Linked DNA regions of Lonchura striata. The protein of the gene in region 1 interacts with the protein of each later gene in a biochemical or structural test. Links are inferred from orthologs where the notes say so. Each region holds a gene or a part of one and is shown in the gene's direction. Other genes may lie near its edges. The genes, in order: RC3H2 and KLHL6.

Evidence for each region.
Region 2: the proteins of RC3H2 (region 1) and KLHL6 form a complex in vitro, tested with the Homo sapiens proteins (2 studies listed by BioGRID, with this or other methods). The link is inferred for Lonchura striata from reciprocal best matches to the Homo sapiens genes RC3H2 and KLHL6.

Annotation. Positions count from the first base shown.
Region 1 is NC_134624.1:9,906,434-9,923,088, reverse strand, and holds the start of RC3H2 (roquin-2), read left to right. Parts: upstream 1-8,770; 5' UTR 8,771-8,845; intron 8,846-9,277; exon of another isoform or gene 9,278-9,625; intron 9,626-15,889; 5' UTR 15,890-15,955; coding exon 15,956-16,186; intron 16,187-16,655. Other genes in the region: ZBTB26 (zinc finger and BTB domain-containing protein 26), read left to right, coding at 1-492; ZBTB6 (zinc finger and BTB domain-containing protein 6), read left to right, coding at 4,893-6,188. UniProt on the Homo sapiens protein: Post-transcriptional repressor of mRNAs containing a conserved stem loop motif, called constitutive decay element (CDE), which is often located in the 3'-UTR, as in HMGXB3, ICOS, IER3, NFKBID, NFKBIZ, PPP1R10, TNF and in many more mRNAs.
Region 2 is NC_134612.1:3,012,915-3,029,041, forward strand, and holds the start of KLHL6 (kelch-like protein 6), read left to right. Parts: upstream 1-8,007; 5' UTR 8,008-8,112; coding exon 8,113-8,372; intron 8,373-13,294; coding exon 13,295-13,460; intron 13,461-16,127. UniProt on the Homo sapiens protein: Involved in B-lymphocyte antigen receptor signaling and germinal center formation.

The DNA of each region.
Region 1 (16,655 bases):
TGCACAAGAGTATTTCGGCATCTGGAAAACTATGCTAACCACTTAAAGATGCATAAACTATTTATGTGTCTGCTCTGTGGCAAGACGTTCACTCAGAAGGGCAATCTCCACCGGCACATGAGAGTGCACGCAGGCATCAAACCATTCCAATGTAAGATCTGTGGGAAAACGTTCTCTCAGAAATGTTCCTTACAGGACCACCTCAACCTGCACAGTGGGGACAAGCCCCACAAGTGTAACTACTGTGACATGGTCTTTGCGCATAAGCCCGTTCTGAGGAAACACCTTAAACAGCTGCACGGTAAAAATAGCTTTGACAATGCCAATGAAAGAAACGTGCAAGACATAACAGTGGACTTTGATTCATTCACATGTAGCACTGCTACAGACAGTAAGGTCTGTCAGCAGGCTGATGCCAGCCAGGTACTGGATGCAGGGAAGCTGCCTCAGGCTGTGCTTGGTTTAAGAAACGATAGTACCTGCGTCAATTAAGCAATTAAAACTCGCCCTGTGTAGGGATCGTGACTGAGAGGAGCAAACCGTTGGTTTGGCTATTTCCCTAAACTAGTGGTGTGCCCTGAAAGGCTACAGATGGTTGGATTGCAAAACCTGGCAGGTCTTCAGCCATCGCTCTTAGTCTTACTTGATATTTTCTGTGAATAGCAATCCTTCAGGTTTCTGTCTGTCTCTACTGTGGATTAAGGGGTTAATTGTTTCATTTCTCTCTGATTAGGAGACTCAAGACTAACACCTTTTGAAAGACTGTTGCTGTGGGCTGCAAGTAAACCATCTGCTGTGCAGTTAGAGGCTTCTCTGTGTCTGGGCAGATGGAGGAAAGCAAAGAGGACAAGTGTGTGAGATAACCCGATATTTTTTTCAAAAAGCACTGGATAACTGAAAACACTCCATATACTCAAATTTAAACTTACCTCTTAAAATTACCTTTCTCTGATCTTACCCCTAGACTCCTGCAGTTGAAATGAAGTATTTTTGTGTCACTTTTTTGCCCTTTCTAAACCTATTTCAAGAAACTTCTGCTGCCAATCAATGCTCTCTTAAAAACTCTCAGGGTTTTTAACCTCAACATGCATTATGAAAAGATGAAACCCTAAATGATTTGGCAGGGTTAGCTGATCATTGCATAGAGCTGTTCAAACTGAGGATAAATTGCAGCTCTGGAATGTGAGAGGCTGGTCCTGGAGTGCAAATGTGACCTGTTCTTACGCTGACATACCTGGGATTTTTAAAGGGCACTTACCAGTGCATGTACTGAGACAAGCTAAACACTTCAAAGCTAAAAGTTATCCTCCATCTTCCGTAAGTTTTGCATCACAAACCACAACAGCTGTTGGGTTTAGAGCAAAGCTGGAGTGGAGAAATACTGCTTTTTGACACTGTGAAAAGAATCTTTTTAAAGCTGCAATGTGTAACAACTCCATGATTTTTTTTTTTTTTTGCTTTTCCCCCCCTTAGTTCTTGTGTGTCTCTCCTTGATGTCTAATAAGGGCCACATGTCACTTAACTTTAAACAAAAATACCTGCTATAAGAACTTAACGTAAAGTTTTTTGATTTCTTGAACTTTTTTTAAGTGACCGTTAGTGTTTTACAGATCCTAGGATGAGATATAGGTAGCACAATTTCTATAGGTTAATATATCAGCTATTGACTGTACTCAGCAATACCTCTTGTATACCGCCTTAAACATCAAATGTAGCGGGAATGGCATGTTAATTTGGATTCTGGGATTATACCATACTGCTTCTCAAAAGTGCTGTGGAATTATCCGCATCCCAGTCAGGCTGAAAGAAGCTTAATTTATCTGAGGCACACCATTCCCAGTAGAACAGCACTGTTAGTACTGAAGTGTAGCACAGACTAATAATCAAATGGCTGATCCTCCGCAGAGAACTGCTGTTTGTGTTTGGAATAAGGATTTCTTCCAGTGCAGCTCCTTTCCACAAGGTTTGCCGTGAGGCTGAGATTATGCTTCCTACCTAAACGTAGTACGTGGTGTGTTTGAATGAGGGGTGGGGATGAAAGGCTGCTATTGTATGGTTAAAAATGTTAAACAGGTATGACCAAAGGTGTGTTAGAGCAAAAAGTGTTGTGTATGTCATTATCAAAAATTGGTCTTGCTCTTCGGTTTTGTGTGTGTAGAAGTCAGGATTTCCTTACGCAGACATTACACTGATGGACGTTAAAACATGTTAATGTTGCAGACCGTTTTCAGATATCCACATACTTTGAAGTAGAAAAAAAAGGTGATTCTATGAATCAGTTTTTGCAATTGAGTTCTTGAACTACTGCACTTGACTGTTACACGAACTCTTATATGGACAGCTATGAAGTAAGCAAAGGAAATTACATCAGGGCATTCATCTTTCAAGTTGTAGCAAATATGTTTAGGCCTAAAGTCTAACTATTTGAAACTTTTAAAATTATTGTTCAGGTTGCTGGGGTAGAAGATAGGTTTGCATGGGAAAAACTGTTTTTCCTCTTGAAGCCACCCACTTTCAGAGTTGTTTTGAACTAAATTTCACTGTGACAGTTGCATCTGACACCTGCATTCTGTCTTCAGGCAAAATCTTCTGTATTGTTCAAACATTTTGATAATGTATTATTCACTAAATGGAAATAAGTTATACTGCTATGTCAAAATGAAGATAGACGTGGAGAACAAGAGCTTGCAGAGCCAGATCAACGTGTTGTAAGGTACTAGTGAACAATCCAAGGCAATATGAATATGGACACAAAAAAGAAAATGGTCTTCTGCCACAGAAAGGAATAAAACTGCACAAATGCTAGAAAACATGGCAGCAAAATGGACAGTATTGAAAGTCTTGTCTATCTGGAAAGTTTTGGTTTTTATGAAATTATGAAGCTGTCATGTTACTGTAAGGAGAATACAACTTGTTGAAGTTGCTGTGGATGACTTGAAGCTGATATGAAGAGACAAGGGGTTTCCTAAGAAACAAAAGAAATAATTTGGCCAAGATGCATGGGTGTTCAGTCCACCCTGTGTTGTGGTGATCTGGACGTCTGAGAAGGTCAAGACTGCTGGGCTGCTCAGTTAAAGGCTGCTGTGATCGTTTAGCAAGAGCACAGCATAAACAAATAGGAAAAAGCAGAAATGCAGAAGACTTTCTTCACTGAAAATGGACACATCTGTTGGATGAAAAGTGACTTTTACTAATGTGTGCTTTTAGCCTGGCAAAAGGGTGCAGACCAAAAGATTTATGCAGGAGATGGCTGCGTGACTCCAGAAACACTGGAGCTCTGAGGGCAACACGCCGATGCAAAGTGCACTGGTGGTAGAGTTCATCTAGAATTTGCCCCTATGTGGAAAAACAAGTGAAGAGCACAGAAGAGGTAATAGAAAAGCAAAATCTGGCTAATGCTGCTTCTCTGAATTACAGATTAAAATGGAGTGAGAATTATGATAAATGGAATATGCAGAGGCAGCTCAGTTATAGAATAAGGTGAATTTAATTGTCCATGTATGTAAAATGTTGTCTTCATTGCAATGTCCCGAGTAGTGAAAGATTAGATCCGTTGGTTGTTGCTACTGATGCTGCATATTCAGATGAGGACTATGGCAGTTATCATAATCTGTGTGTTACTGTGTAGAATACCATTTGCTGGTAAGTGGATAGTCTCACGACTTAATGTGCTGTACAACTTCCTGCATATCCTAAAAATAACTGAAGTCTATTACAGAAGTATTTTAATAACTCCTCAGTATATTAGGAATTTTTTTTTTAAGTTGGCATTTTATTTATTTATATTATATAGAAGAAGGAATTTTTAGAATTTAGGTTTGCCAGAGGTTTGGGCTCACCACTTCTCTGAGTGATGGTAGCTTGTGTAGCATGTGTTCCTGCAGCACATGCTGCAACTGCACAGCCTTCTGCATAGATCAGGGATGAGTCTTTCCTTAATTTATTTTTCTTTTAGAAGACATGTTTTGCAAGTTAGTAACTGATTAATTTGAAGTGTCAGTCTTTCTCTCCCCTAGCTTTTTGGCAAAACTTAGCTGCCGCTGAACTTTTGTTGAAATAACAGAAATTGTGTGGGGCTGATTATGGTTTTGAAGTCACTGGGAGGAGGAGTACAAGTGAGGAGGGAGAATCAAAATGTGATACAAACTGAAACTGTTGAGAGAACTCTAAAGTCACGTTAAATGTTAATTTTTATAAACAAAGAGGGGGACATAGTGGTGCCTCCCGACTTGGTAAGGGGCGAGAAGGAAGGACAGAACGCCTTTCCTTTGAGATTGTATAATCGATGGACTGAGCATTAGCTACCTCTTCACTGACTGGGCAAAAGTCTTACACTACGTGTGATAACCAAAGCAGGCGGGTCGGCGGCTGCCGGGCGATGTCCCGTGGCCGTGAAGAAGCCAGCAGCTCGTCCCGGCGGCGTTCGGGACGGCGGTTCGCCGTTCCCCCGGCGCGTCCCGGCTGATGGCGAGGAGGAGCCCCGGTAGTCGCTCCCCGGGATGCCTTACGGGGTCGGACACGTCGCTACCTCTACCGAACGGTGGGCGAGGCGCGCCCCGGTGCCGGTGCGGTTCCCCCCAGCGGCAGCCGCTGTAGCAGTGCCAAGTCTTCTAATAAACGTGCTGCTAACTCTGTCTGCCGCCGCCTCTCATTTCCAGCGCGGTCACGGCGCACCGGGGGCGGGCGGGCGGAAGGGGCGGGCGGGGAAGCTGTTCCGGGGCGCTGCGGCAGCGGCGGCGGAGCGGCGCGGGCTGCGGGAGCGGCCGCGGAGCGGGCGGAGCGGGATCGCGGCCGGCGGTAGGCGGCCCGGGAGCCCCGGGACAGCGGGTCCTGCCGGAGGCGGGGTGGGCTGCGCCCGGCGAGACGCTCCGGAGGTGCCCGCGGGCCCCGCCATGGCGGCGGACTCGGAGGTGCTGCACTTCCAGTTCGAGCAGCAGGGCGATGCCGTGCTGCAAAAGATGAACCTCCTGCGGCAGCAGAACCTCTTCTGCGACGTGTCCATCTACATCAACGACACCGAGTTCCAGGGGCACAAGGTGATCTTCGCCGCCTGCTCCACCTTCATGCGGGATCAGTTCCTGCTCAACCAGTCCAGGCAGGTGCGGATCACCATCCTGCAGAGCGCCGAGGTGGGCAGGAAGCTGCTGCTGTCCTGCTACACGGGCGCGCTGGAGGTCAAGAAGAAGGAGCTGCTCAAGTACCTGACGGCCGCGAGTTACCTGCAGATGGTTCACATCGTGGAGAAGTGCACCGAGGCTTTGTCCAAGTACTTGGAGATCGACGCTTCCATGGAGAGCAGTACCCAGGCTGCTGAGGGGTGCCACTCCTCGGATGCTGAACTAAGGAGCGGGGATGAGGTTTTAGATAAAGATTGTGAAGTAATCGAGATCTCTGAAGACAGCCCAGAGAACGAAGAATACCCCGTGAAACAGGAGGATGAGGATGGCGATGGGGATGGCCCGCACCCTGCACCACAGAGCTTGGTGTCAGAAAGGAAGGACACAAAATCCCCAGAAATATCAACAGTGGAAATTGGGTATAAGGATGATGAAATCTGTATCTTTAGAATGGATTCCATGAATGTGGCGAACGTAGAAAATGATCATTTTTCTCAGCCTTGCACTTCCTCTAAAACAAATTTATATTTCCCAGAAACCCAGCACTCCTTGATAAACTCTACAGTTGAAAGCAGGAATACAGAAATGTCAGGAAATCACTTTCAGGCTTTTGTTGGTGATAATCAAGAAGGAACTTCTAGTGGGGGGAATGGGTTCCAGAGCCTGGAGGATTCTGGCAGCTCATGGCGGCACCAGTGTCCAAAGTGTCCGAGGGGCTTTCTGCACCTCGAGAACTATCTCAGACATCTGAAAATGCACAAACTCTTCCTGTGCTTGCAATGTGGCAAAACGTTTACGCAAAAAAAGAATCTCAACAGGCACATCCGAGGGCACATGGGGATCCGGCCCTTCCAGTGCATGGTGTGCTTGAAGACCTTCACGGCCAAGAGCACGCTCCAGGATCACCTCAACATCCACAGTGGGGACAGACCCTACAAGTGTCACTGCTGCGACATGGACTTTAAACACAAGTCTGCTCTTAAAAAACACTTGACTTCTGTTCATGGAAGGAGCAGCAGTGAAAAGCCAAACCTGAACACTATTACAAAAGTTAAAATAGACTATGATTGATAGCTGGGCAATTGTGGAGTCAGACTCCACAAAAATCTCCTGGCTAGTGAAATTCGACATGCAATTCCAGTTCCAGATCCCCATTTAAGAGAGAGAAGTATAAACAGGTGGCTGGTGATCCAAGACAGGCCTTGGAGTAGGAAACCTGCCTGCTCTGTTAAGGCTGCTATTGCTGTCAGTGAAAAAAGGTGTTTCCTAGTTGAAAGTAAACTTCAAAATATGGGAAATTATTTCATGCTTCTTTTCTATTATACTGAGTATATCCTAGTCCCCCAATGATGTTTTATATTTCTTGTTTCAAGGGCAGGCACTGCTGACTTTCAGACTATTACTGATACTGCAATAAGCTGAAGCCTGAACTGTGGTGTTGGTGACAGCAGCTGAGGGAAGGGGGTGTTTGTATTTATTCAGCATCCAGTTCCCATCCAGTTCCTGGATCATTCGTGGTGAAATCATCTCCTTCGTTGCCCAAACTTTGCTAGATCTTCCAGGAAGAAGGTGTGTTTTCATATTCAAGTCTATGACATTTAAGGACACACAACAAACAAAAACTAATCAAGGAACCTTTCAATTTGTGTCTTGCAAACAGAAAATTTGTAAAAGAGAAAGAAACGAACAGTATTGCCTTGCAGTTTATTTGTAACTGGACAGTCCCGTGAAAAGGACTTGCTTTTACTTTTATCAAGTTCTGAATTTTTATAAAATTCTTTCTTCTAATAGTGGGATTTTTTTCTGTCATACCAATGTTTTGCACCTGTATTTGATAAGTTTAGTCCTGTTTGTTGCATCATAACATCTGCCTTCATTTTTTTTACAAATCTTAGCTATGTGCACTTGTGTGAAGTTTAGCTGTGTGCTGTTGGGTAATCACAGTTTCAATGCTAATTTTGAAAACCAGGCATTTCTGTCTGACTAGCAATGGCTTAGACATAGAGGTCTCATACCCTGATTCTGTGACACGGTAACACAGTAATGAGGTGTGTTTGCAGAATTGTGTTCGTGCTTTGTTAAAGGTCCCTTTAGTTTCATCATGAGCATCGCGCGCCCTGAGATGCAGTCTGTGTCTTTGGCTGGTACCTGTTTCTTCCACTTAATGTAATATGAATAAAGAGTTATTTCAGTTGTTAATATGAGATAATGGTACTTACAACTAGCAAAAAGCAGTAGTTCTTACTCCTTTCTGTATCGCGCTTTCCTTCGAGTTTCAGAAGTGCTGTTCCAAGTTCTTACTCTGAGTCCAGGAGTCTGGCCCAAATGCTTCAGAATCTGGCTGGCTCTAAAATCTGAGACAATAGTTTTTAATGTCAGTTCACTTTCCTTCCCCGTGTCTGTGAATGCACGAACCTGTTTGGGGTTTTATTGATCAGCTACGTGAGGGGTTGGGGTATGTACAATGTCTACCACGTTCCTGTTACTACTTGTTACAGGCAAGGTCAGGTGTATGCTTGGGTATTTCCCTCATGAGCACTTACTTCCCTGTGTGCCAAAGGGGAAACACACTGATCTTTTGAAGTGTGTCTTCTGTGGGAACAGGTTCCAAGTTATTTCGGTCGTGCATGTAAACATGAGAGGGAGTTGTGTTGTGTGACGGGCCACCAGCATGTTCTGTTCAGTGGTTGCAGTGTCTCAGTAAGCTCTGTGGACAAACCCTGGTCTTGTGCACGTTCACTTTAGAGGAGCTTACTCTCCCCTGTCTGTACATGTAACCATGCCCTGTCATAACACAATAAATGAAATGCAAACAAGGCGTTGTGTCAGAAATACACCTCGTTTTTTCTGATCGCAGTTAATAATGCTATGCATACCTTAACAGTTATTATTTTGGCTTGCTGTGTTGAGTAAACAAGATGTAGTAAACAAAACACGGTGTTCCAGTGGCGGTCATTTAGTAACGCGTTCTTCTGTCCTTCAGAGGAGTCTGTCTGACCCACTTGTGCCATGAATTCTTCCCCCTGAGGAGTCACAGCTCTGCACCGCCGTGACCTTGGCTGTGTTGTAGGCTGTGTTATCTGCGTGAGCGGAGAAGCAGCTGCAGCTGCCGGGCGCTGCTCCGGGGGCTGCCGTGCTGGGGCAGCAGCGCTCCCCACACCTCACGGGGCCCCGCCGGCCTGAGGCGGCTCGGGGACAGCCGGCGTGGGCCAGAGAGCGCCTCCGATCCCCTCTTCCTCCTCAGCGCCAGCAGCAATTAAGTAATCAATTGCGATTTAGAACGACAATTAATAATCGACACTAGCGGCGAAAGTTACCGATTACATTTTAAAAGGACAATAAGTAGTGGAGGCCAGAGGCGGACGTTGCGCACCGAGGAAGCGCTGAGGCGGCTGTGCCCGAGGCGCGCCACCAGGGGGCGCTGGCGGCGGCGGCCGCCGCTCCGTCCCGCCGTCTCGCTGACCCCGCTGGGCTCGGCCCTGGCGGCGGGCGCATCTGCCCCGCCGTCTCTATGGTAACCGCCTCCCTCCGCGCCGTCACGCGCGGCGGGCGGCGCGCGGCTCTCGCGAGAGCGGCGTGGCGGGGCGTGGCGGCGGGGCCGCTGTCAGCGCGATGAGGCGGCGCCGCCGGGGCTCCCGCCGCTGCCTCCGCCGGGCCGCGCGCCCGCCCCATGGCGCGTGAGGCCGGCACCGCCCGACCGCGCTCCGGCCGCCGCCCCCGCCCGGCAGGTACGGACCGCACCGCACCGCCCCGCACGGGCCGCGCCGAGCGGGGCGGGGGCGGCCGCCGCGGGGGACGCGCTGACCCGCCGGGCCCCCCCCCCCCCCACCTCCGCCCCCCCCATCACGCAGCCCGGTCCTTCCGCTGCCTCCCGGCGCTGCGGGAGCCGGGCGGGGGCGGCGGCGGGCTGAGCCCGTCCGGTGCGGCCCGTCGGGGACCGCAGCGGTGTCGGCGCCCGGCGGGCCCCGCCAGGCCGCGGGGCCGGCCCGGGGACCCGGGCAGCCATTTGGTGGCGGCTCCGAAATGACGGCGGGAGCAGGGCCGGGCAGCGGGAACGGGAAGCCAGGCCCGGGCCCAGGAGCGGGAGCCGGGCCCGGAACGGGAGCAGGGCCCGGGCCTGGTGCGGGAGCGGGGCCGGGCTCGGGTGCGGCTGACAGCGGCCTGCGGACGGGGCGAAGCTGCGGGGGCACTCGCGGGGCCGCCCGGCGTTCCGGGCACCGGCCAACGCAGGCAGGAGCTCCGGTCCCCTCCCTGGCAGCCCCCTGGGGACCCGCAGCACCGGGCAGTCCGCGCTGAGGTGCACCGGAGCCATGGATATTGCCAGGCTGGAATACTCATGGAGCTGTGCGTTAGGGTAATGGTGGAGGAGAGTCGTGGTGGGAGATGTGCCCCAGGACTGCGCCCACCGTGTCATGTTTCAAGTGTCTTAAACACAAAAACACAAAACAACGAAGCAGGAAAAGCGTGTCCCGGTTCTGCTGATGCTCGAGGTGCACGGAGGGTTTCCAGTTAAGTGTAAGAGTCAGCACAAAGCACAGAAGGGCAGCAGAGTGGTGGGAGAGTGATGAGTGTTCAGTTCATGCAGGGTTCAGAGGAGAATAGCATGGATCTGTAACGACAGAAAATAATGACAAAGTTTAGACGGGCTACCAGTAGATTTTCTGATCTAGGCCTGTTTAATTGCCATGCCAACTTAGAATTTTGTTTGGGTTTAATTGTAGTTCCTGTAGCTTCTCTTGTGGTTGTTCTCTCATGGCCATTATAGCTACATCATAATAATAAAACTAAAATTAAAAACAGTCCTTTGGATTACAAGGGTGTAAATTTGCAGTTGTGGCAGAAGAGATCTAATTTTAAATGAGAAGCAACCAGTACAGCCGTAAATCTTCAGAATCAAAATACTATTCTTTGACCTTTGGTCTTTTCTAAATATCTGTGGAAATACTAGAAATTTAAACTTCTGTTGCTGGTATAAATATTATTCCATGAAACACTGACATCTTAATTTCTGTAGTGAATCATTTTCCCAAGACTTTCACCTTTTTTATGAAGTTTTGTTTCTGCATTGTAAGCAAAGCTTTCCCCAAGATGTTTTTATTAACTTGTGTTTTTATTAACTTGTATTTCTGTCTTGTTTGAGGTTGTGGCCATTTCTCTCAAAAATACTAAATTCTATCAAATTTTAGTGTCAGTGCTTTAGGTATCCCAAAGTGAAGTCCTGATCTTGAGTGGTGATCTCATTTATTTAAGGCTTTGTTGCTTTAAAATAGATAAAATATTTACAATAAGCAGATGGTAATAGCTGATAGTATTTGTTAGGAGTATGTTGCATTTCATTTGGTGATATTTTATATATCTTTGATGGGATGAATGTTCAGGGAATCTCTCTTTGCTGACTGGACAGCCCTAAGGAAAGGAAAAAATTATTTGTCCGCGGGCATCTCAAGTCATTCTGTACAACCTTTAAAAAAGTTTTCCAGCGCCTGTGAGCCCTATGTTTTCTTGCCTACATCTCAGAATAGACTTGGTATTTCAATAAAATGGTTTAAAATACAGAAGTTCTCATCTAAAAAAATATAATTTAAACATGGAGGTCATGTAAAAAAAAAAGCTTGGAGAACTAAACCATACGTGAGAGTCCTTATTCACAGCAAATATTACTGAGAAGTTAGGAGTTCTACACTGTATCTCTTCTTGGAGTAACTGTGTCCAAGTAGATCTGCTTAGAGAGAGTTCAACTGATTTGGGTGGCAAAAAAAAAATTTCATTTTTTTGCCCTTCAGTTAGTCCTGAAAAGTCAATACTGTTACAGAAGCTGAGTTGGTATCAGGCTGGTGGCAAGGACAGGCTCTCCTTTCAGGGACACCTTGGAAACGCAAGGAAAAACCCACAGTGGCATTACATAAGTATTTAGGAAACTTTTAATATCTACTAACATGATTTACAGTAGCAAGGACTGAGCAGGTGAGAACTGCTGAGGGTACACTGACTCTGGTGTTGGTTTGGGGGCAGTTAATCCCAAATTGAGTGAACACTGGCAGTCACTGAGCAACCATGACCATAAATTTATATCGTACCCTTGTTGATAGGAGTTACTCTTCAGCCACATGTTTTAAGGAGGCAGAGGGGATTAAAGCTTTGATTTTTTTTTTAACCAGTTAACAAGAGAATCCTGTAGGCATTTCAGCAAAACGTAGTCTGGGTACGTGTAAACGTTCAGATCTATATTTAGGGCACGAGGAAATGGAGTGAAGCTATCAGGGAAGTTCAGGTTGGACATTGGTAAAAAGCTCTTCCCCCAGAGGGCGGCCAGGCCCTGGAACAGGCTCCCCAGGGAAGTGGTTGTGGCACCAAGTCTGCCAGAGCACCAGGAACGTGTGGATGATGCTCCTGGACACGAGCTGTAGTGTCAGGTCCTCCTGCGAGAAGCAGAGCTGGACGTGTGTCCCTTTCCACCAGAATTTCTATTGGTGACTTTCCTGGAGCTTGAATTGGGCTGCAGATACTCCTGAGCATTAATGTTCAGTGAAAGAATTGCATTGAAATACTATATTTAATGGTCATTAGAGACTTTACATAGAAAATTTTCACATCATGTAAAGAGATTTGCATGTGACAGATATTACGGAGTGTAGGCATAGAAAAGGCACCTCAGTAAAGAGGATTTATTTCAATTTCAAGCCATCATAGCTGAATGATGCAAAGCTGTTGTGGGGAGGGTCCTTCCCCAAGCCTTTAATGGAGCCAGTTTTTTAGATGTGTGGATGATGGCTGTTAAAGAGAGCCCTTCCAGCGAATATATTAATACTGATAATTGTATTATGTGATATGTAAGTTTTTGACCCAGTCAGAATGCTTTCAGGAACTACATAACTTAGGAAGGAAAGCTGGGAAAAGCTGCCTCCTTGTAGTGCAAACCAACCATTCATCTGCATAAACGAACAATTTTAATGGAGATTGCTTTAAAAAAAGAAAAGAAAATTCCATGATCTCTGGAGTCAGCATTAAGAGCAAGTCAATATTAAGGACTCTTTAATTTAGTGATTCAAAATCAATAGAATTCTAAGATTTAGGCTTAAATCCACAGTAGGATTGTAATTGAACCTCAGATGTGAAAATGCCATATAATTTCACACGTTTTCCAAGTGTTTCCTTCATCTGTGGAGAAGACTTCCCTTTGTTCAGCACTGACAGAATTATTCCATGCCTCATTCTCACCCAAGCTCTGCTTATTTGTCTTTGCTCAGGCCCACAAGGGACCTGATGGAGGCAGCCTGAGCCGGGCAGAGCTGATGCTGGGGGGAACGAGTTAAGCCATCAACCCTTTCTGTGATAAGGGGTGAAACTTGCCTGTCTGCATTTTGGCAAATGCCCTGACTGAGCAGTGTGGGAGAGGAGCAGTCTGACAGAACAGTATGATCACCTAAGCTTGGTTTCTTCAGGAAATCAGAATTGAATTCTGTTTATCATGTCCAGAGGTTATTGAGTAAGCATAATGATTTAGATTAGTTAGCTAAAAGTTAATATAAAATTGTAAAGGACATCTAAATCTTACAACTTAGATCATTTGTAAGTGGTACAGCTGTTTGAGGAAGATCTTGAGGTTTCACTTATCTCCCCTTACACCGCACATTCCAATTTCATCAGATATTCTGGTCTAAAATGAGAAAATCAGTCCGTTATCATTGTTACTCTGATCCATTGCAGCCATGACTGCAATAGGAAAATACTACTGTTTTAAAAACACATTACTCAGCTGTACTGGTTTTTATTATTACATAATTTCTGAACTTAGGCTTGTACGATTTTCAGTTTGTCATCTGAAGTATCGCTTCTGGTAGTAATGCCACAAAACTAATTGTAACTTCACTATGTAATGATTTGTTAAGTAGTAACTGCCATGAATTTGCAGACTGCTTCCTTGTATGTCTGGCCAGTTTCTGTATCAGCCATTTCTTTGTTTTTTTGGTTTTGTTTTTTTTTGTTTTTGTTTTTTTGGGGTTTTTTTTTTTTTTTTTTTTTTTTTTTTTTTTTTTTTTTTTTTTTTTTTTTGCAGGGTGCTTCTATTTTGACAGGGAAGAGGAGCCCTGTGTAGTGTAAAGAAATCCGCCAGAATGAGCAGATAGGCCAAGGGTAGTTGTTCTAATGGAGTGTGCTGCCTGTTAAAAACAGAATCCAAAGGATTAATAGTTTACCTTCCTTGTTTTTTTTTGCTCTCCTCCTTGTGTTTGCTCAGTTTAGAGTGCTGGAGCAATTTGTTCTTCAAGAGGACATCCCTGAAATACATTGTTTCTGACAAGGAGCAAGAATCTGTTAAACATTTGGCTTATGCTTTTTGTAGGAGTTGACATGGTAATTAGGAGATGTGAGATTGTTTTCCTACACACTGGGGTGTTAGAGTGGCAGGAGAGCTGGCAGGCTCAATAAAGTATGGAGATTCCTCCCTCTATGGCTGCTTGAAGTTTTGGGAGTCGAGAGCTATTCCCAGCTGTTTGCTGGCTTAATTAGATTTTTTTCCTGTCAAGAAATCTGAAGGTCAACACATGCTTAGTAGAATCTGTCATTTGGGATGATTAAACACCCAGAGATAGATTTTTTAAAACCGGTGCTGCACACTTGAAGAATCTGTTGTGTTCATTTCTATGCTGGTCAGGAAAACAACTATATTTTTTAAAAGCTCAAACAGAGAGGTAGTTTCTTGCAAGGCTCTGAAGCACCTGTGGAAACCAAACGTGGGTATTGTCTCAGAGCAGAGATCCCTGCATCTGAGATAATTAATGAGCAGTGTGGACACAGGGACTGTTTATTATGAGCTCGTTAGTGACATACTAGCAATTGAGCTTTCTGTGTACCAGCCTCTTAAACTTTTCCCGGTGTGAGTCATGACAGTCACACACTTCCCAGAGAGTTTGGTGCTGTTACCTGTGTCTTGCAGTCAAGTGAAAAAGCACCACTATCAGCCCTAGGTCAGCAGTAACGTTGGTGTTGGTGTTTTAATATTTCTGGTAGTGCTGCAGAAAGCTGTAAGGGAAGTGTTTACAGACAGGCTCTGCAGTTCTGTGCATCTCTTTCTTGTCTGACTGTTTCAGAAGGGAAGCAGATGTGCTAAAGGAAATGGTGGGATTTTTAGCAGAGGAATCAAAAATCTTTCTAGGCCTGTTGGCTCAGTGTTTGGCTTCATTCTTATTTATTTTGCTTTTAAATTTTCTTGGTTAAAAGACACATGCAGCAATAGCATGTTAAAGATGACTTGGTGTGTTCATCCCTGCTAGAGCTTTGCCTGTGCTTTCAATAGAAGCCAGAGGAAAATCTGATTTGTCCAATACATGGGAATTTTCTGGCTTACGTTGGAAGTGTAACATCAGCAGTTTGGTTTTGAGAGGTTCAGATTCCAGTTTGGTGTGTTTTACTATGGGAATTCATTTGAGGCAAAAATTGCTGCATAATATTGAAAAGCTCGCTGAGATAAGGACATCTTGTACAAGTATCCTGTTACTTAAAGGGCACTGAATGTTCATAGTACTAAATAGGATTTCTCAACAGATGGTCATAATTAACATAAAATACATCCACAGATAAGAGTCTATTTGGTCTTCTAGTAATTCTTTCAATGGTCTGGTACTTTAGTATTAATTAAGCCATAGCACAGCCAACAATGGAACTGCAGTAAGGAGTTTCTGAATTTGAACACAGAGGGGAGATCTCATGTTCCTCGGAGCAATTGCCTTTTTTTTCTCATCAGAGTAAAAAAAATAGAACTCTAAAGATGTAATTAAAACATTTGTGTATTTGCATTTGTAACAATCTTGTTCATAGCCTTGAAGTGACCCAACTGGTCTGTAGGTTGCCTAGAGAGCAAACACGGTGGCGCAGCACAGCCCAGGGTGGGGCTACTCCCTCCGGGGTGGAGCTCTGAATGTAAATGGTGATGATGGAAGCTTGGATGAGAACGGTTTTGATGAACTTCTTAGGCCTGGTACCTTTTTCAGGAATGTGACTTATATAAGATACATCAACAATCTCCATAAAGCCATATTTTCTTTGAAATACACTTATGTAAACAATTTATTTGGTACTACTGCACGGAGTGAGACATATCAAGAGATGAGGAAGCCATCTGAAGTTATTGCTTGCTTCATCATAGATTTTGTCCTATATACCTGGGTTTTATATACATCAAAGATTTTCTTGCTGAGAGTTCATGGACATAGTTATATGTAAGGTAGAAACATGAAAAGCAAAATTGCACACAGCAATCTCTGCCCTTGACTGCTCCAGTTCTTACAAGAAAAGGCAGAAGTAACACAAAAATCATAAAACTAAAAACTGGTCTTGCTCTTTTAGTGTTTTCTTATGGCTCTTGGTATTTGTTAGTTGATTTGTGTTTTACAGAAAGAGAAAATGTGTTTTTAAAAAAGCAAAGCTCAGCTTGGTTTGGTGTCTGATTAAATCTGAATAAGATCTGCAGAAGGAAGGCGTTGTTTTACTTAATTTGAAATGAAAATAACATTCTAAACCAGACCCCTCCCCCCCAAGAAAAATTAATGCCATTTATTGTGAATGAGTTAAACTTAGGGTAGTCTGCATTAATTTAGTTCATGAGCCTTTTTTGGTACAGTTGTTAAACTAACCCAGAGTTGAGGTTTTTGAGTACGTCAGCATAAAGATTTGGTTTTGTTCTTGGTAATATTGAAATTGGTCTGTTTTTTTAATTAAAAGTTATTCTAAATTGCCAGAAAGCATGTTTTAAATACTCTGTTATTCACTTACAGCTGCCAAAACATAGTACAGTGAAATAATGGTCTGCTAGCCTGCTAAACAAGTGTCCAGCTTCCACAATGCCTGTGCAGGCAGCTCAGTGGACAGAATTTCTGTCCTGCCCAATCTGCTACAATGAGTTTGATGAGAATGTGCACAAACCCATCAGCTTAGGTTGCTCTCACACCGTGTGCAAGACCTGCCTGAACAAGCTCCATCGCAAGGCATGTCCTTTTGACCAGACTGCCATCAACACAGACATCGATGTGCTTCCTGTGAACTTTGCACTCCTCCAGCTGGTTGGAGCCCAGGTAGGATTGAAGCAGCTCTTTGTTTGCCACTTGGTGTTGTTGCCTTCTCCGTGCCAGTTGCAATATGTGTGCTGCTCTTTCTTCCTCATTTTAGCCCAAATAAATTGTAAGGCTTAACTTTGGACTCTCTAGGAGTCTATACATACTCTAAAAGCAACTTCACCATTTAGGGCCATCTTCTCATAAAATAAAATGTTCTAATTGTAACCTGAATTCTGATTTTAAAAGGCTCTTGAACTGTGACTGGAGAAGAATTCCCATTGGGAAGCAGACAATTATCTTTCCCAATTGTCAGTAGAATGTGTGAACCTGCAGACTGCACTTGTTCATCTTAGGCTTGTGAGAAATCTCATTCCTAAACGTCACATGTTTGGAAGTGGCTGTTTAACCAAGTTCCAGAAGTGTGTGTGTATATTTTTTTTTTTTAAATGTGCTTGATGATGGCTTTTCAGTTGCGTTTGCAGACACT
Region 2 (16,127 bases), on another chromosome or scaffold:
TTTAACAATATTTTAAAACTTAATGAAGCTTCAGTTGCTGTAATGATGTGGAACTAACTGAGAACTATAGTCCATTTTTTTTAAACCAATATTGAGGTTCACCAGACATTCACCGTTCTTTCCACCATTAAATGGCAAGTTTAAATGTCAGGTTTGAGCTAAAAAAGTAGCTGTGGAAGAAAAGGGTCACCTGGAAAATCAGATGGATGTAGATGCTGTTTTTTACAGGAGAGCATTTGTATGTAGATGTATTAAATCAAATTGCACTTTGACCAAAAGTTATGTATTTGTTTATTGAAAAGATGTAGATTTCTGGTTCTTTCCAGTTTACTTCTTTCCCCTAGACCAAGCAAGGCTCAGCTTTCAGCAGTCACTTGTCAGTTAACCAATTCCCCCCTTTATTGTGTCAGAATAGGAAACACAATAATTAATTACAAAAACTTTGGGATAAGTTTATTCCTGGAATAAGCTTATGTTCCAAGAGTAACAATATTTGCCAATGCCATCCTTATTTTTTTGATAATTAGACAAGCTAGTAAATGACCCCATGTAAACCAGTGGTAGAAACTGTACCATATGATGGTCAAAAAAAGAAGACAGTCTGTGATCTGCTGAGTGCCCTATACAGAGTGTCACTCCTTCTTGAAAAGAGTCCTGCTCCCTTCTCCTGTTACCAGCTCCAGAAAAAAAAAAAATCTCATTTGGCTTCAGAAAGTTGAAACTGGACTTCATTCTTTTGCTCTGGGTCCACATGGGTTTCTGGTCTGATAGACTCAGTCCTGCAGAGAAGCAAACAAAGCAGCCTGGTGCAAGTCAGCAAGTGGTGAGGGTACAGGGCATGCTGACCATCACATTGGCTTCTCTGCCTGAGGTCTTCCCAAGTAAGGCTGAGAGGCTTTACAACCCAAGAAGGAGATCCGTGTTGCCAGCTAGCAGAATGCCACCACAAGGAAGGTAAGGAAGGACCACGCTGATTTTGGGGCCAACATTTCTAAGCTTCACACAGTCAAAAAATCAAAGCAGAATTCGGTCACAGCTCTGGAGCATCACTCAGAGTGTGAACTCATCACAGTTAGGTATGTGCAAAGAACTAGCTGAGATCTACAGGCCTCATGAGAAATAAAAGTCAGCGTTGCCTTAGACATCAGTCAGAGACTAGGTTCATTTCCCATGGTTTGGGATCACACTGTGAGCTTTTCAGATGCCTATTCAACAAATATTATGATTAGACTCAAGAACTCAAACTTTAGTCCAGGCAGAGTCCCATTAACACCAAACAAGCTCTAAAACATGGACCTCTACATAATTCACTGCAATGGCAGCTTCCTCCAGTTCCCAGCTCCTGCCAAGCAGAACAGCTCTCCTTCATTTCAAGAGCTGCTTTGTTGGTCAGGCTTTGTTAAGCTGTGGGACAAATGTCTGAGCTATGGCGCTGTTGCTCTGGCCAAGGCTGTGTTCCTTACCTCGTGTACCAGAACCTGGCAGCAGCAGCACATCAAGGTGCACAGAGAACACATCAAATATCACTGAGCACAACAGGCCTGCATTTCTTCTAGCATGGACCTGATTCCTGACGTCCAATTATGGAGATCAAAGGTATAATTTACTTAGAGGAAGAATTATTTTTGCATAAACAGCCACTAGCTAATAATACAGAGAAGATGCTAATAAATTCTAATGGGTGGCAGAGCAGACAACAGTAGACAAGTGACCTGAGCATCTTGCTACATAAAATTAAACAAGAGGGAGTCTGATGCTGATGACAAAACCTTTTTGTGAGTAATGCTGGCAAAATCTTTTCGAGAATAACTCAACTCTAAGTTAGAAAAAGTGAGATTCTTCTTCCCTACCTGAAACTAACTTTAGGACCTTCTTTGCATCTTCACAAACAACAAGAAATGGAAGTAACTGCTGCTATTTTGTTTCAAACACTGATTATCTTGAGGACAGAAAAGGAGGAACGTTTGTCTGTTGTCTTGAAAAACCTGCAATAGTGTAAGGTGTTGACGAAAGGCTATCCTTCTTCCAGGGAGGAGGAAAGGACTGTTCTGACTGGGGAAGGCTTGTTACAGCTGTCCTCAACTGCCATGGCTGGTACCCACTGCATTTCTTTTGGTTCTTACCTACAGCTGCATTCCTGGCCTCAGCCCTTCAGTTTCATTTGGATGCATCTCATCTTGGGCTATAAAATCTTAAAATATGAGTGATGTGTCAGCTTGCTCTGCCTGCTGCTTTGGGAGTGACCATACTGCACCCCCAGACTGCAATTCAGTTGTTTCAAATAGACCAAACACTAATTTAAATAGCAGCCTTCCTCCACCACTCCCTCAAAAGCTAATGAGCAGGGCATCAAAGATTCTTGAGCTCAACTTGCCCATCCACACATCGGGGTGACCTCCATAGCCTGTAGCACACGTGGGAGCAATATAACAACCAGACTTCAAATACTGAACCCAAATAATTTGGCATTTACAGCTTGGCCAGCTGGGACCTCTCTGTTATACAAGCTGAAAGCATGGTTTGGAGTCACTCATCTGGATTGTTAGCACATTGCCTGACTATCCCGAAGGAAACAATACATGGAAGCAGCAGTTTTTCTAGAAAGATCCCAGTGACTTAAAATACATGCAAAAACCCTCTGAGAGCAAAAGATGGACAGGTAATAAATGCAACACTGTAGGGTAACACTGCAATCGTCTCTAAAAAATTTTCAAGAGTGAGGGTATGAGACAGGCCAGCTTCACAAAATCACCATTGTTTGCTGACTTTGAACAACTGCAGCTGCCCAGAGGGAGGGATATGAGAAGTCTCAGCAGTAGTTTTTGAAATGGAAGGTGGCGCTGGTTCAGCAGAGGAAGTAAACTGCAATGAAACAAAGATTCCAGTTTGCAGTTTACAGAAAATCTGATCCAAAAGTTCTGTATGTATTTTCAAAAACTGAAATCCCATTTGTTCCCCCATAGCTAAATTAAGAACGTGCTATTTTGAGCAAGTGAACCTTATCCCAATGTACTGAAAACACAGACAAAAATCCAGCAACTTTCCAGGGTTGACAAGATTATCTCAGGCTTCAGCTATCTTGCTTTGCACTGTGCTAGAAAACAGCTGATGGTAAGATGAGCCCTGATACGTGTCCAGCTGCAGTCCCCACCCCTGCTCCCACACCAAGGAACTGTCTCTGCTACCCAGCAGGGCCCTCTGTGCTCTGAGGTGTTTTCTGTAGTGCTTATTGGGATGCACAGTGGAAGAATTGCAGTGTTTTTCTACTTGAAGGAGTCAAAACCTTGCCAAGACCTTTCTTCTGCTGTTGTGTCCTTGCTCTCTTGGAGGCAGCACCTTTAAGAAGGTTCTCTCCGATGAAGGAACGCTGCCCCACAGCCCTCAGGAAGCATGGTGAGGCCTGGAGATGCAGCTGTCAACATGTTCTTGGGTGGCTTCAGCTTTGAAAGCTGCCTGGAGTGTAACAAGTGGAATAGCCTGGAACAGGAGACACTTGGTCACAGAACACACAGACTTGGAGTATCATTTGTGGCAGCAAAATGGACATGGTCTGGAATAAGAGGAAGAAGAGAAACAACAAGGACCACTTTGTATGAGCTCCAGGTCAGAGATATGAAGTCACTGCCATCTGCAAGTTCAGCAACCTGCTCATTACTTAGAGTAGGAAGTTTCTAGATCCCATTGTGATACCATTGTGGCTCCTCTCAGACTCATCTGGTCCCTAAGGTCTCTGTTAGCTAAAAGTACAAGGATGTGGGAAGCAAAATAAGTAACAAGAACTGTCAGGAATAGGTTCCTGTATTTCTACCTTTGTTTAAAGAATGCCTCAGCTCCTTGCTCTTGATCCATTCTTGGTGGGTGTGATTTCTTCTGTCCCTCCTCTTAGTCATGGTCCCAAGTCCATGACTTTTTCCTGGGACAGCCTGAATCTTTCACTTTACAAGATGGGAACCAGGACTCCTGGCTAGTCTAGGCAGATTCATGTGTCGAGGTCAAACTTTACAGGGCTGAAATGCCACAGTGATGAGATCCTGGATTCAGGAACAGACAGTTGAAAATGAGCAACATTTAAACAGGGAGCATGGTCAAGGGGGTAGAGAAGACACAGAGGTGAGGAAGTCATGGCAGGATGGAATGCAGCCTCTGAACTCAGCTCAAATGCACTGTGCAGATTCACAGGTACCAGCAGCAGCCTGTGATGTTACAGGGCTCTGTAAACTTGCTATGACACAAGAGAGGGATATACATTATTGGCACAGTAATTCCAGCCAGGTAGTTCTCTCAAGCTGATACAGAGCATACACAATATGTTCAGTATTCCTAAGATAGGAATAGACAAACCAGTCATGAACAGACAAGCCTTCAGCTCTTACCAGTTCATTTAGCTAGCAGGTAATTCTTTACTGAAAACAGTATGAGAGTGCAGACAGAACAAGTCCCTAAAGGCCAAATAGAAGAATGTATCTGGAAGCTTCTACCATGAAGTAACAAACTGGATTTACCCCAGGATTAAATAACATGTTGCTACTGCAGTCTTGGGCCAGAGAGCACCTCAGGAGAGCAGCTGCCTGGTTGCTGTTCCCTTATACCTGCAAAGACACAACACTCACCTCAGCATTGTCCTCATGCTAGCCCAGAGAATGAAATTAGTTACTACATTTGCAGATTAATCCCTGAGCAAGGGATTCTCTGAACACAGGGCAGCCCAATGTGGGGCACAGAGGGCTCAGATTTTCACTGGGATGTACTAGACTGAATTTATAGCTGTTATTGCAGTTCAGCTAGTAATGAGCAGGCTGCTGTGCCTGTCACAGGACTTGCTTGCCTGCCTGTAAATTACATTCTGGTGCTCATTGGTAGTCCCTGCTGCTGTGCTGCTGATGCACTGTGCACTGTGTTGTGCCTGGGAGCACTTTGGTGACAGCCATGGTGATGGACCTGGGCTGGCAGGTGGCCAGGGCATCGCTGCTGTGTCTGTGCTGCTGCACTGGGCAGGCTGGAACTCCGGTGGGAACTGGGGTGGAAGGGACTGTGACCTGCAGGGACCTGGGGTGGAGACTGTAATGGCTACACCTTTGTTGTAAGCCATGATTTGAGTTGTATGTTACGGGAATTAGTGTAACAGGAATCACCCAAATGAATGGAGGGAAAGCCTCCAAAGAAGCAGCTGCAGGGCAGAACTGACCTGACCTAAGATGGCCTTGGTGCCCAGGACCTCTCCCTTACACAGCACCTTGCCTGTCCCAAGTCACCACCAGAACAGATGGAGCCCAAAGTCACGAAGTAAATTAACTGAAAGGACATTTTATGGACATTTGGGGAGATTTTGTGGGCATTTTTCAAGGGAAGCACACAGACTAAGGGATTGACATCTGTGCATTATATCCAAGGGTGGGAGGTGGGGTGGTGATTAACGAGGGTGCACTGAGGAGTGTGGGACCTGAGCATGATGAGAATGATATGGAGTATGGGTGGAATGTGTTTGTTTTGTTTGGGGTAGGGTTGATTTTCTTCACAGTGGCTAGTATGGGGCTTTGGTTGGATTTGGACAGGGTTGATAATACAGAGGTGATTTTGTTATTGCTGAGCAGGGCTTACACAGAGCCAAGGCCTTTTCTGCTTTTTGTACTGCCCCACCAGTGGGAAGGCTGGGAGTGCCTGGAAAGTTGAGAGGAGACAAAGCCAGGACAGGGGACCCCAACTGTGTGGGGAATATCCAAAGGGATATTCCAGGCTGTGTGAAATCATGCTCAGGATGTAATGTGGGGGGAAGGAGGAAGGAGAGACGTTTGGAGTGATGGGGTTTGTCTTCCCAAGTAACCATCATGTGTGATGGGCCCTGCTCTCCTGGGAGTGCTGAGCACCCACCTGCCCATGGGAAGCAGTGAAGAGAGTCCTTGCTTTGATTTGGTTATGTGTGGCTTTTGCTGTGCCTATTAAGCTGTCTTTATCTCAACCCATGGGTTTTCCATCTTTTGTCCTCCCAGTTCTCTCCCTGGTCCCAGTGGTGGGGGAGTGAGCAAGCTGCCTGGGGCTGGGCTGCTGGCTGTGGTTAAACCACAACACCATGGCAACAGAAGAAAGGAGGGGAGGTGCTTGTCAAGAAAAAAACCAGAATTTAGGGGTTAAAAATACACCATAAGGGTTAGCAATGACACAGAAGGAGACAGACTGTGGATAATGATTACTGCTAATAGTCAACAGTTCCTTGAGCTGCTGAGGTCCTTCCTGCAGTGCAGTTACTGACAATACCACAGCCATCGACCTAGTTACTGCAGGGTTTCCGTTCCCAGCAGCCACAGCCAACACTGACTTACTTCAATTTCACCATTATTAATGCTTTGCTTAAAGCTTCAGCAACTGGAATCAGGTGATGCTGTGGAATCTCAGCTTTCGCTTGAACAGATAAGCACAATGTGAAGCTTCTCACCCTCAGAGAAAAGCCTGATAAGATGAATTCCCAAAGGTCAGAAGTCAGGATGATAAACAAGGAGAACCCAGCCCAAGATAGGGTTAAAGTATTGTGGTTTTTAAAGCATACCTAGCACTTTTGAGAGGTTTGGTAATTTTCTCATTGTATTCCTACAGGAGTATTTGGGAAAGAAGGAACTGGCTTTAGAAAAGGAAGCATTCATTAGCAAAACTTAGCACAAAAGGCAGCAGGAGCACATTTAAATCAGCTGGGAAAGGAAAAGGCCAAAAGGCTTCACAGGTTACACAAAATGAAGAAAGCCCCATTACAAGGAGGTAGAGGAAAGCAGGCAGGATATTTTTTGCTTTCCTTCCTCTTCATCTTCCAATCTGACTCTCTCAGACCCTGCTTTGACCTCCTTCTGGAAGAGGGGGAAGCCAAGTTTCCCATAATACTGTGAGCTCAACTTTACAAGCTGGAGACAAAGAGGAATCCAAACACACAATAAGAACCTGTGGATTGGCCAAACAAGGATTCCTAGAGGTAATTATCACAAAGGCAAGCTTGGTTAGCAGTCAAGCTACCGAGGTGAGGACTGGTCCTACATTCCTCTCAGGGGGAGATAAAGGTGTGCTTTTCTACTTCCCAGTGTGAGTTTCCTAAGCAAGCCAGGGATTTGCTCTGGTACTCTCAGTAGGCTGTGATGCTTATTCATTCAGCTTGGATCAGGTTCTCATCTAAGTGATGTCCAAGTAGATCTGGTCCATCCTTAGGTGACAGCGAAACCTTCAGCACTGTGCTCTGTGTGCTCCTGCTGCAGGCTCAGCCCCAGAGCTGCCCTGCAGTGTCCCCACTGCCAGATGTGCAGCCTTGGTCCTGCTACCGTCCATGTCTGTCTCGGGGACAAGTCAGATGCAGCTGTGCCTCAAGCTACGCCCATCAGTGAGGATGGGGGGGATGAGCATGGGCACACTGCTCCCCAGGCTCTCTCCCTGAGCTTTCAGTGCTGTCAGAGCTGATGGCAGGGCACTGGTGGCATGGACCACATCCCTGTGCCCAGCAGTGGAGCCTGAAGACTGTCAGCTGTGAGATCTTTGATGCTGGTCCACGTCCTTGAGACAGTTGTGCCCATTTAGCCTTAAAGAAAAGCCATGCAATGGTTGCCAGCTAATAAAAGTCATGAGGGACAGAAACATCCATTTGGAGGACTTTCTGAATATGCAAACGTATTACTAAAATCCAAAACTAAACCCCAAGCCAAATCAGTTATTAATAATTTCATGCCTGGAAAAAGAAATAAAGAATATTACTCTTTTCCCCTTAGCAGCCTGGTCCATCAGGAGTGCTTGATAGGCATGTGGTGCACCCATCAATAGAACCAGCAGATAACAGTGAGGGACTGGCTTGAGGCTGGGAAGCAGGCTGTCCCTGTCACTTGTAATCTTCTCACATCCAGAGGCATCTTAAGGCCTTTCTAAACACGCTGATACTGCCTGAAAATCACTGAAAAAACCCAGCCTCTGTTTGTGTTAACAGGATGAGAAAGTGCAAGGCTTCCTGTTATGTGTGTGTGACAGCTACAGATAAGCAGAGACCTCTGGACAGGAAATCCGCCCAACTTCTGCAGTGTGATTTGCCCGAAGCTGAGGAGCTCTTTTTAGATCGAAGCACCAACAGAATGAGACAGGGCTGGCCAGAAAATGGGGGACACGCTGGAGAAGAGCTCTGAGGAGCCCGAGATCTCTTTGAACAATGAGTGTTCGACGAAAATGGGGGACCTGGTGGAAGTCTCCAGTGGTGAAAAGGTCAAGTTTGATGATACAGGTCTCTCTCTGGTGCTCCAGAATGGCCTTGAGAACCTTCGGCTTGAAAATTCCCTTACTGATGTCATCCTGTGCGTGGGCAGCAGGGAATTCTCCTGTCACCGAGTGGTCCTTGCTGCAGCAAGCAATTATTTCAGGTAAGGTTTGTAACAAACAAAACCAATACACTTATTTTGCTTCTTAGACTTGAACTGTAGGTCTTCAAGGAGTGCAAACTGGGTGTTAAAGTCTTTCAGTTTTTTTTAAAGTTGGAGACTTAAATAAGGCAGGTGCTAAGTTGTGGATTTGCTGGAGTTCTGATACCAGCATTCAAAAAGTCTGCTGGAGGCAGGCAAAGGAAAACAGAATATTGGCAGACAAGTGCATGAAAAAAGGGTGTTTTGACCAAGCATCTTTAGCCACTTGTCTTGTCCTTTTGGGACCTGAGCAAAGAGGAATACTCATTCAGATAGCAGGGTATTTTTATTGAAATAGGAGTGGGTTTCTGGAACTTGCTAATTTTTTCTGTTACCATTCTCAGGTAAAAATATATATTGCATTAAATTGTTGAGGAGGAAAGAGAAGGAATTTTCCATCTGGAAATCAGTTGCAATGGGAAATATCCCCTTGAAAGCATTTCCTTCTGGTCCACTTGAATTTTTCATTCTTTCAGTACAATAGATATTCTATCTGAGACTACTGGCCAATAAGAACAAATTTTAGACACACAGAGGAACTTAGTATCAGCTTTAGCACAGATTTTCCATATAATTTAGACAATATCATTTAGACCATCACATTTGCATGGCTGGGATTTTTTTCTTTCTTTCATTTACTGCTAAAGTGGTCAGATGACTGAACAGCTACAGGGGAAACACGAGAAAAAAGAACCTGTGACCACTTGTGACATGAGCAGAGAGCTAATTTTATATGGAGTCTGGTAAGCTTTGCTGGTAGTGCCTGGAAGAACAGTTCTGCTTTTCTAATCTAGAGTAGAGATTGTGTCTGTGAATATTTGGAGACAGGTATTATTTCTACAGAGAGACTACATTTATTGCATATGAGAAAATATACAGCTAAAAGCAGAGATGTCCAAATATATCTTACCAGCATTATGTGTGTAATGGACAGCAGATGCACAAATTAAAATCAAAATTATCATAATGATACTTTGACAAAAAACTCCAATTTCACTATAAATAAAGATGCTGCAGTCAGAAGGATTTCCCAGTTAAAACCAGGCAAGATAATTTTATGAGAACAGCTGTTGGCCAGCTCTCCACTGAACTTTTCCTGAGCTACAGCCTGTCCCTTGGAAGGAAGGAGGATACCTGGCTGGAGCTCATCTCATCCCAAGGCAACTGCACACGTGTGCAGGGTCTGCCCCTCTGGGTGCTTCTGTTTGGCTTGCCTTCCCACAGAGCTGAGATTTATTACATCTCACTGTCTGCCAGTGCCTCTTGTCGTGACTCTTTGGGTTATTTTCAGTCACATTTGGCACAGGATGGAGGTCTCAAACCTGAAATTCCCGTGAGTTTGATGGAAATTTGCAGCTAGGAGAGGAGAGATGCTGGGCTGGCACCCTTGGTGTGCTGCAGGGTAAGGAGCAGGGTGTCCTGGCACACAGTGCCCAGAACAACCACACTGCCCTGCCCTGCTGGGCACAGCCAGCACAGGGCTGAGCTCATGCAAGGGACCCTGAAGTGTGTCAGAGGAGTAAGGAAGGAGAATGGAGGGCTCAGGAAGAGGAAGCTGAGGTTACTGGGAGGAGGGAAAGAAGGACACAAGTCTGCAGGGAACTGAGCTTTGCTGGCTCTGCTGCTCACAAGGAGCCTTCATTCATCTTGCCATAATTCTCTAGAAGCTGCATGGCCCCAGAGAAAGAAGGAATTTGTAAATCCCACTGTTCCTGTGAGCACTTTCCATGCTATTACAGCACTCCTAACAGCCATGCACAGGAGTAAAGCAAAGGGACCCAGTGACTCATGGGCTTCATTCCCCTGCCTGTTACACAACCCCTTCCTGAACGCTGGGTGCCACAGTGTGGGCAATCCACAGCAGCTGGCTGGAACACACTTTAACAAAACTAACCACTTCTAGGTTAGCTTTGTTTAACTAACTTTGTTTAACTAACTAACTTTGTTAGAAGGCTTCTTCTGGCCTTTTTCAGCACTACTGGAGAGTAGATAGACTAATTCTTGTGACATCCTGCACCCGTAGACATAAAAACTGTTGCTCTCCATTTACCTCCATGATGATAACAGAGCAGAAAAGAGAAATACCAGCTGACTAAGGTGGAACAGTAGTTCTTTAATCCTGCACTGCCCAAGAGTAGTGAGAGAATGAGGTTGAATCCATTTTCCAGAGTATCCTCGAGCTCCAGCATGGTTGTTTGAAGTCAGGTTCATAGTTCCAAGCACAAGCATTCCTATGTGGGAGGATGCTTAAAACGTGCTTCACAAAACTGCAACCCATCATTTATTTTACTGAGATTTCTCTGATTTTAAATTAGAAAAAATTTAGAATTTTTTCTAAAATTACCCATTTTTGGGTATCTAACTTTGGCACCGGACCCTTAATTCAGATGTGCATTTCTTAGAGTACATGTTGGTTCAAATGTGCAGTTTAGAATCACACAGGGACTAGACCCAGGGAATCATACAATGGAATTAGTAGCCACATCTGAATGATTTAGATCAGAATAAGGATAAATTCAGAAAGATTCAGAGACATAACTTTAATCCTTAGGAGAGAAGCTCATCCTAATCAGCCTGAGTGGTGTCAGGTGCTCCCCTTCCAGCACACAGGGTGAGAACAAGAACCACTCCATCTGAGCAGAAGGAAGGCCACAGGAGTCAGCTCTCCTGTGCAGCACTGCCCAAATTCAGCCCTGCCATGATCTAGAGCAGAGAACTGGTGGGAGAGCACCATGCTTTAGAAGTGTGGGTCCTGCAGCTCACAGCTACACCCTACGAAATTGGGAGCGGATGGCAGCTCTAAACCAATGACAAAGATTAGGAGACAGATAGGCCAAAGCACTTTGAGCAGACCCTGTGCAAAGGCACCAGCAGAAGGCTGAGGCTGGTTTCTGAGCAGCCTTGCCCAAGTGTCACACTGGGTATCTCTGACTGACCCTAGCAAACTCTCCGCTCTGTGGGGCAGAAGTGAGACTCACCTCCCCGACAGGGATGGGTCAATACAAGTCTGGAGTCACCAGCTCAAGAGAAGAAAGGAAGAAGAGCAGACACCACCTGCACCCTCCACGGGCCTGTTTCTTGTTCATGTGAGACGTCCGCAGCCATCAATCCCGCACGACTGGAACAGCTCTCCCGTGCCAGCCTCCCTCTCCGGGCTGGAGCCCATTCCCAGGGAGCAGTGGGAACTGAGGGCTGCTCTTTTCAGATGGCCACCTCTGTCAGAGGCCCACACATCGCCTCTTACATCACCTGACAATGCCAGAGGGAGGGAAGCTAAATGAATCTCAGTCTTGTGGTCACCAAAGTTAAGGAGCATTTGTCTAAATGCCTTGAAATATTCTGGTTTCAGTAGCAGCAGAAGCTGGACCATGAGGCAGGACAGTGAAGCAAAAACCTCTAATGAGCTGAGTGAAAGGAAAAATGAGAATTTTGGCTGAACAACTTTTCTGACAAGTAACTTCTCTGCCCAAATTTCCTGCTCAAAAGTTAGGCCTCTCTATCCAGAGGCAGTTTTGCACACTGAGGTAACTAAGACCTTGCTATAAAATTTCTGCTGAGGTAAGGAACAGGTAGTTCTTAGAGCAAGTAGCAGCTGGTATCTTCCATCCATTTGCCATTCATCGTGCCTAACTGCTTTGCAATAAAATCTGTTTACGTCTTGGCTCCAGTAAGATGTGTCAGTCAGACAGCTTAATTCAGGCACTTCTTTTACAAGAAAAGCATGGCCTAAGACTTGGGACCTCTAGACATTTTCCAGGTTGCATTGTCCTGTCAACATTGTGTGTGACTAATAAAGAAGGCCTGGAATGCAAGGTAAAGAGTACTTCTAATTGCACTTTAGATCTGCACATGTTTTTCACCAATGCAGTTACAAGAGGACTCACGTAATTCTGATCTGTTGAGAGAGATTCCAAATAATGTGACATTTTGTTCTCTGAATGCAGTGAACAAGAAGGGGCTGATCAAAATCCTAAGTAAAAGCAAAAAGCATTGGAAGAAATACTTAAATCTATAAATTGAAAATGCAGAGGAAGATGTGAGTGTTTGTCCTGCAGCTGTCACAATGCAAAATGGATGAAAATTCCCCTTAGAGAATTTCTGATTTATACCCCACATGAAATATCTGCCTAGTGCCAAAGGTATGCCTTGTGGTCATCTTTCAAATGCAGTATTATTCATCAAAGAAGAGTTGCTATCTACATGTATGAAATTACTGCATTTTCTGCCTAACAGTAGTTCCAATTCATGCAAAGTCAATTGTTTCTCTAGCCAAGAGGTACCAACTCTACAATCCCAAAATTTAGAAGAAAAGTCGGGTTCTAAATTAGAAGAAAGCCATAAGCCATTCTCCCCTGGCCCACCACTGGTGTTAATGTGGCCCAAGAGACGTTGGGAAGCTGAGAAGTCAGGCTCAGACACGTGGCTCTGCTCTGGCCTCGGGGCTCAGTCCCAGCAGAGTCCTGCAGCTCGGAAGCAGGGGGGCATTGACCTGCCAAGGGGTACAAAGCACATGGGCTAATGAAGTTTGGAAAATTCCACACCTTAACGAGCTGCAGGACTCTGCACTAGAAACACAGCAAGAGGCCAGCAGGTGAGAGAGCAGCACTGCTCCAGTCCCAGCTGCCCTTTGCTGCCATGGAGCCCTAGGTCTGCTGTAGAGGACAGCTTGGAGGAATGCATCATGTGTGTATGCCTTATCAAACTCACGAGTACACAGGAAGAAGAGCAACAAAAAGATATTTTCTTGTTTCTTTTCAACAGGAGTAATTGCATAAAATATGAAGCAATCAAAGTATTCTGTGTTGAAATCTAAATAGCCCAGTGTTTTCAGAATGCCTCATCCTGACTGGAATGCAGTAAAAGATAAATGTCTTTCTTTCCAGGGCCATGTTCTGCAATGATTTAAGAGAGAAATATGAGGAGAAGATCATACTAAAAGGAGTTGATGCAGAAACCATGAATATACTCTTGGACTACACTTACACCAGCAAGATGCTCATCACAAAGCAAAATGTACAAAAGGTCTTGGAAGCCGCCAGCCTCTTTCAGGTACAGATAACTCAGATGCACTGACCCAATCTCACTGCTCTGGCAACACCGTGTCTTACTCTGGTTAGCACACTGCAAACTTCTCTGATTTCATGGGTTCTGGAAGCATTTTGCTTCATATTTACTTCCATTAAAGTAAAAAATGGCAGTGGTAGCCATGTACTGGAATTTTGCTGTGCTGAGTGCCATGCAAACAGGAAAAGAGCCTGGCTGTGTCTCCAAGAGCTGCTCCCATGTGCTGCCTGCCTGGCAGTGCTCCCCAAAATTCAGGTCAGCCTGTGAAGGCCAGTCAGAAGGGTTAGTGGGCAGCAGCTGGCATGGCTGGCCAGAGCAGGAAATTACTTTGCCTTTCTGTCTCCCCTACCCTGAGATGAAGGCTTGCCAGACAAAGTTAGCATCCTCCTTTGTAGAACTCGTGTGTAAAGGGTTTTAGTCATGACCTGGGATTTGTGGGAGGCTGGAGTTGGTCAGTGTTACTCAACCTTTGGTCCATGAGGTATTCACGTGTCCTGTAAATCACCTGTGAGGTCTACCTAATTGCAGTGTCTGGTACCATGCTGCAAATTGCTAACAAATTGTAACCAACATAACCTGCCAAGTGCCAATGTGCATGTGTGTGTCCATTCCTCTCATTAGGGAAGGCAAGAAACACCCAACTCTGTGATCATTGTGGCCCATGAGGGAATTCAGGTTTCTGAATCTACATGGAAATTTTGCTCTGCAGTTCTGGAACTCTGCTTTCTAGCACCCCAGTCCTGTGAGGAGCAGCTGAGGGGGCTGGGGGTGCTCAGTTTGGAGGCTCAGGGGGGACCCTATTGCTCTCCTCACCTCCCTGACAGGAGGATGTAGCCAGGTGGGGATCAGGCTCTTCTCCCAGGTAAAAAGTCATAGGACAAGAGGAAATTATCTCAAGGGATAATCTAAACCAAGGGAGGTTTAGATTAGATATTAGGAAAAAATTTCACAAAGGTAACTTTAATGTCACCTGGGTCTGCATTGCATTTTCCATGCACCAACACTACCAACTGGCAGCATTAAACAGCTACATTTGGTTCATTTTCAGGACACTTTTCTATCTTGTTTTTGTTTTCTTTTGAAACAAAAGGATCATTCCTCAGCTTTTTTTTTCCCCTTTTTTTTCCTTCTGGAAATATCTAAAGTATAAACTTATGGTTTTTCATGTATCCTCCGTACTTTTCATTAAAATTAAGATTAAATTTGATTCCCAAGGCTGGTGCTTTAAGAAAACCATCAAACTCTGTTAGAATAATGATAAAATTATGAGGTTACCATAAGTAAGAAAAGTAAACTATAAAAAACTAGATAAACCTAGAACACCAGAAATATTCAGCTAAAAACTTTTGTTGTCTTGGATACTATCAAGTTTTATAAAGCCTCATTATAAATTTATAAGGCCTCTCATTATAAATGTGAGGGTTTGGGCTGAAAATGTGTTTTGTGCAAAAAAGATTTAGTAACTACTAAATCTTTAATAATCTGCTATATCAAGCTGACACAACTAGAGTTCTGCCAGATTGTCCGTGCTATTCATGCAGCAGAACAGAGTTGAAAGTCAAATGTTTCATTTGGATATATCAACAGCTGAAAAGATAATTTCTGCAATTTATTGTAACATTTTTGTTTGATAAATTCTCTCAAATTAGTGACGTGAGAAATCCAAATTTCAAATAGAATCTTTTTATCTGACTAGAAAGAGCTTGTAGCAGTGCCTCTTTTTAACCTTGTAGACTTGGTAAAGAGCCAAAAAAGAAATAACTTGCACAGTTCTAGATATTGCAGTATAGATATTCCGATGTAAATTATCTACTTTTCTGTAGAAACTGTTTTTGAAAAAGTTGTACATATTTATATCTTTCTTTAGTCCCTTCTAGCAAGTTTTGACCAAATGCAGTCAAAACTGGCAGTAGGAAGAGGTGGAGGGCTGTTTGGAGAGAGCAGCGTCCCTGCCACGGTGGGGGAAGCAGGTGAAGGGTTTGGAACAGCTGAACAGCTAAGCCTCACCCTCAAGTGAGCCAGACAAATTTTTTCCACCTAAAGCACAGTTGCAACATGAGTTCAATAGTCACCTCCTCTGTCTGGGCTGGTGGCTGCCCAGCCACTGCACTTGCAAGGCTGGTGCCCACCCTGGGTCCCACCCAGCAGCCTCTGCCACCCACACTGCCTGCAGAGCTGCTCATCCTTCACCCTGGCAAGGGTCAAGATCCCAGCTGCTTCCCAGGACCATGGCAGGGAGCCCTGCTTCCCTCACCAGAACTCAGCAACAACCTCCAGACCTGTCCACATGCTCCTGCCCCCCAGGAACCTCTGTATGACCCATTCCCTCAGCAGGGCTTGCTGAGAGACCACATCAGCTGTGGTGGTGGAAGCAAAGAAATGGCGAGAGGGAAGCAGACTTCTGAGCAGATGGAAAAGAAACTCTGTTGTCACCAGAGGCTCTGGTGCCCACTGCCATAGAAATGCCAAAGGCTCTGATGCCCACTGCCATGGAAATGCCAAAGTCTGTGATGCCCACTGCTATGGAAATGCCACGTGCAGCGGGAAGAGTGGAGGATGCCCCGAGCTGCCCCCTCTAAGCAGGGCAGGGCTGCTCTGCCCTCAGGGCATGGCTGAAGCACCACCAGCCTGATGGCCTGACTGACCCCCAAA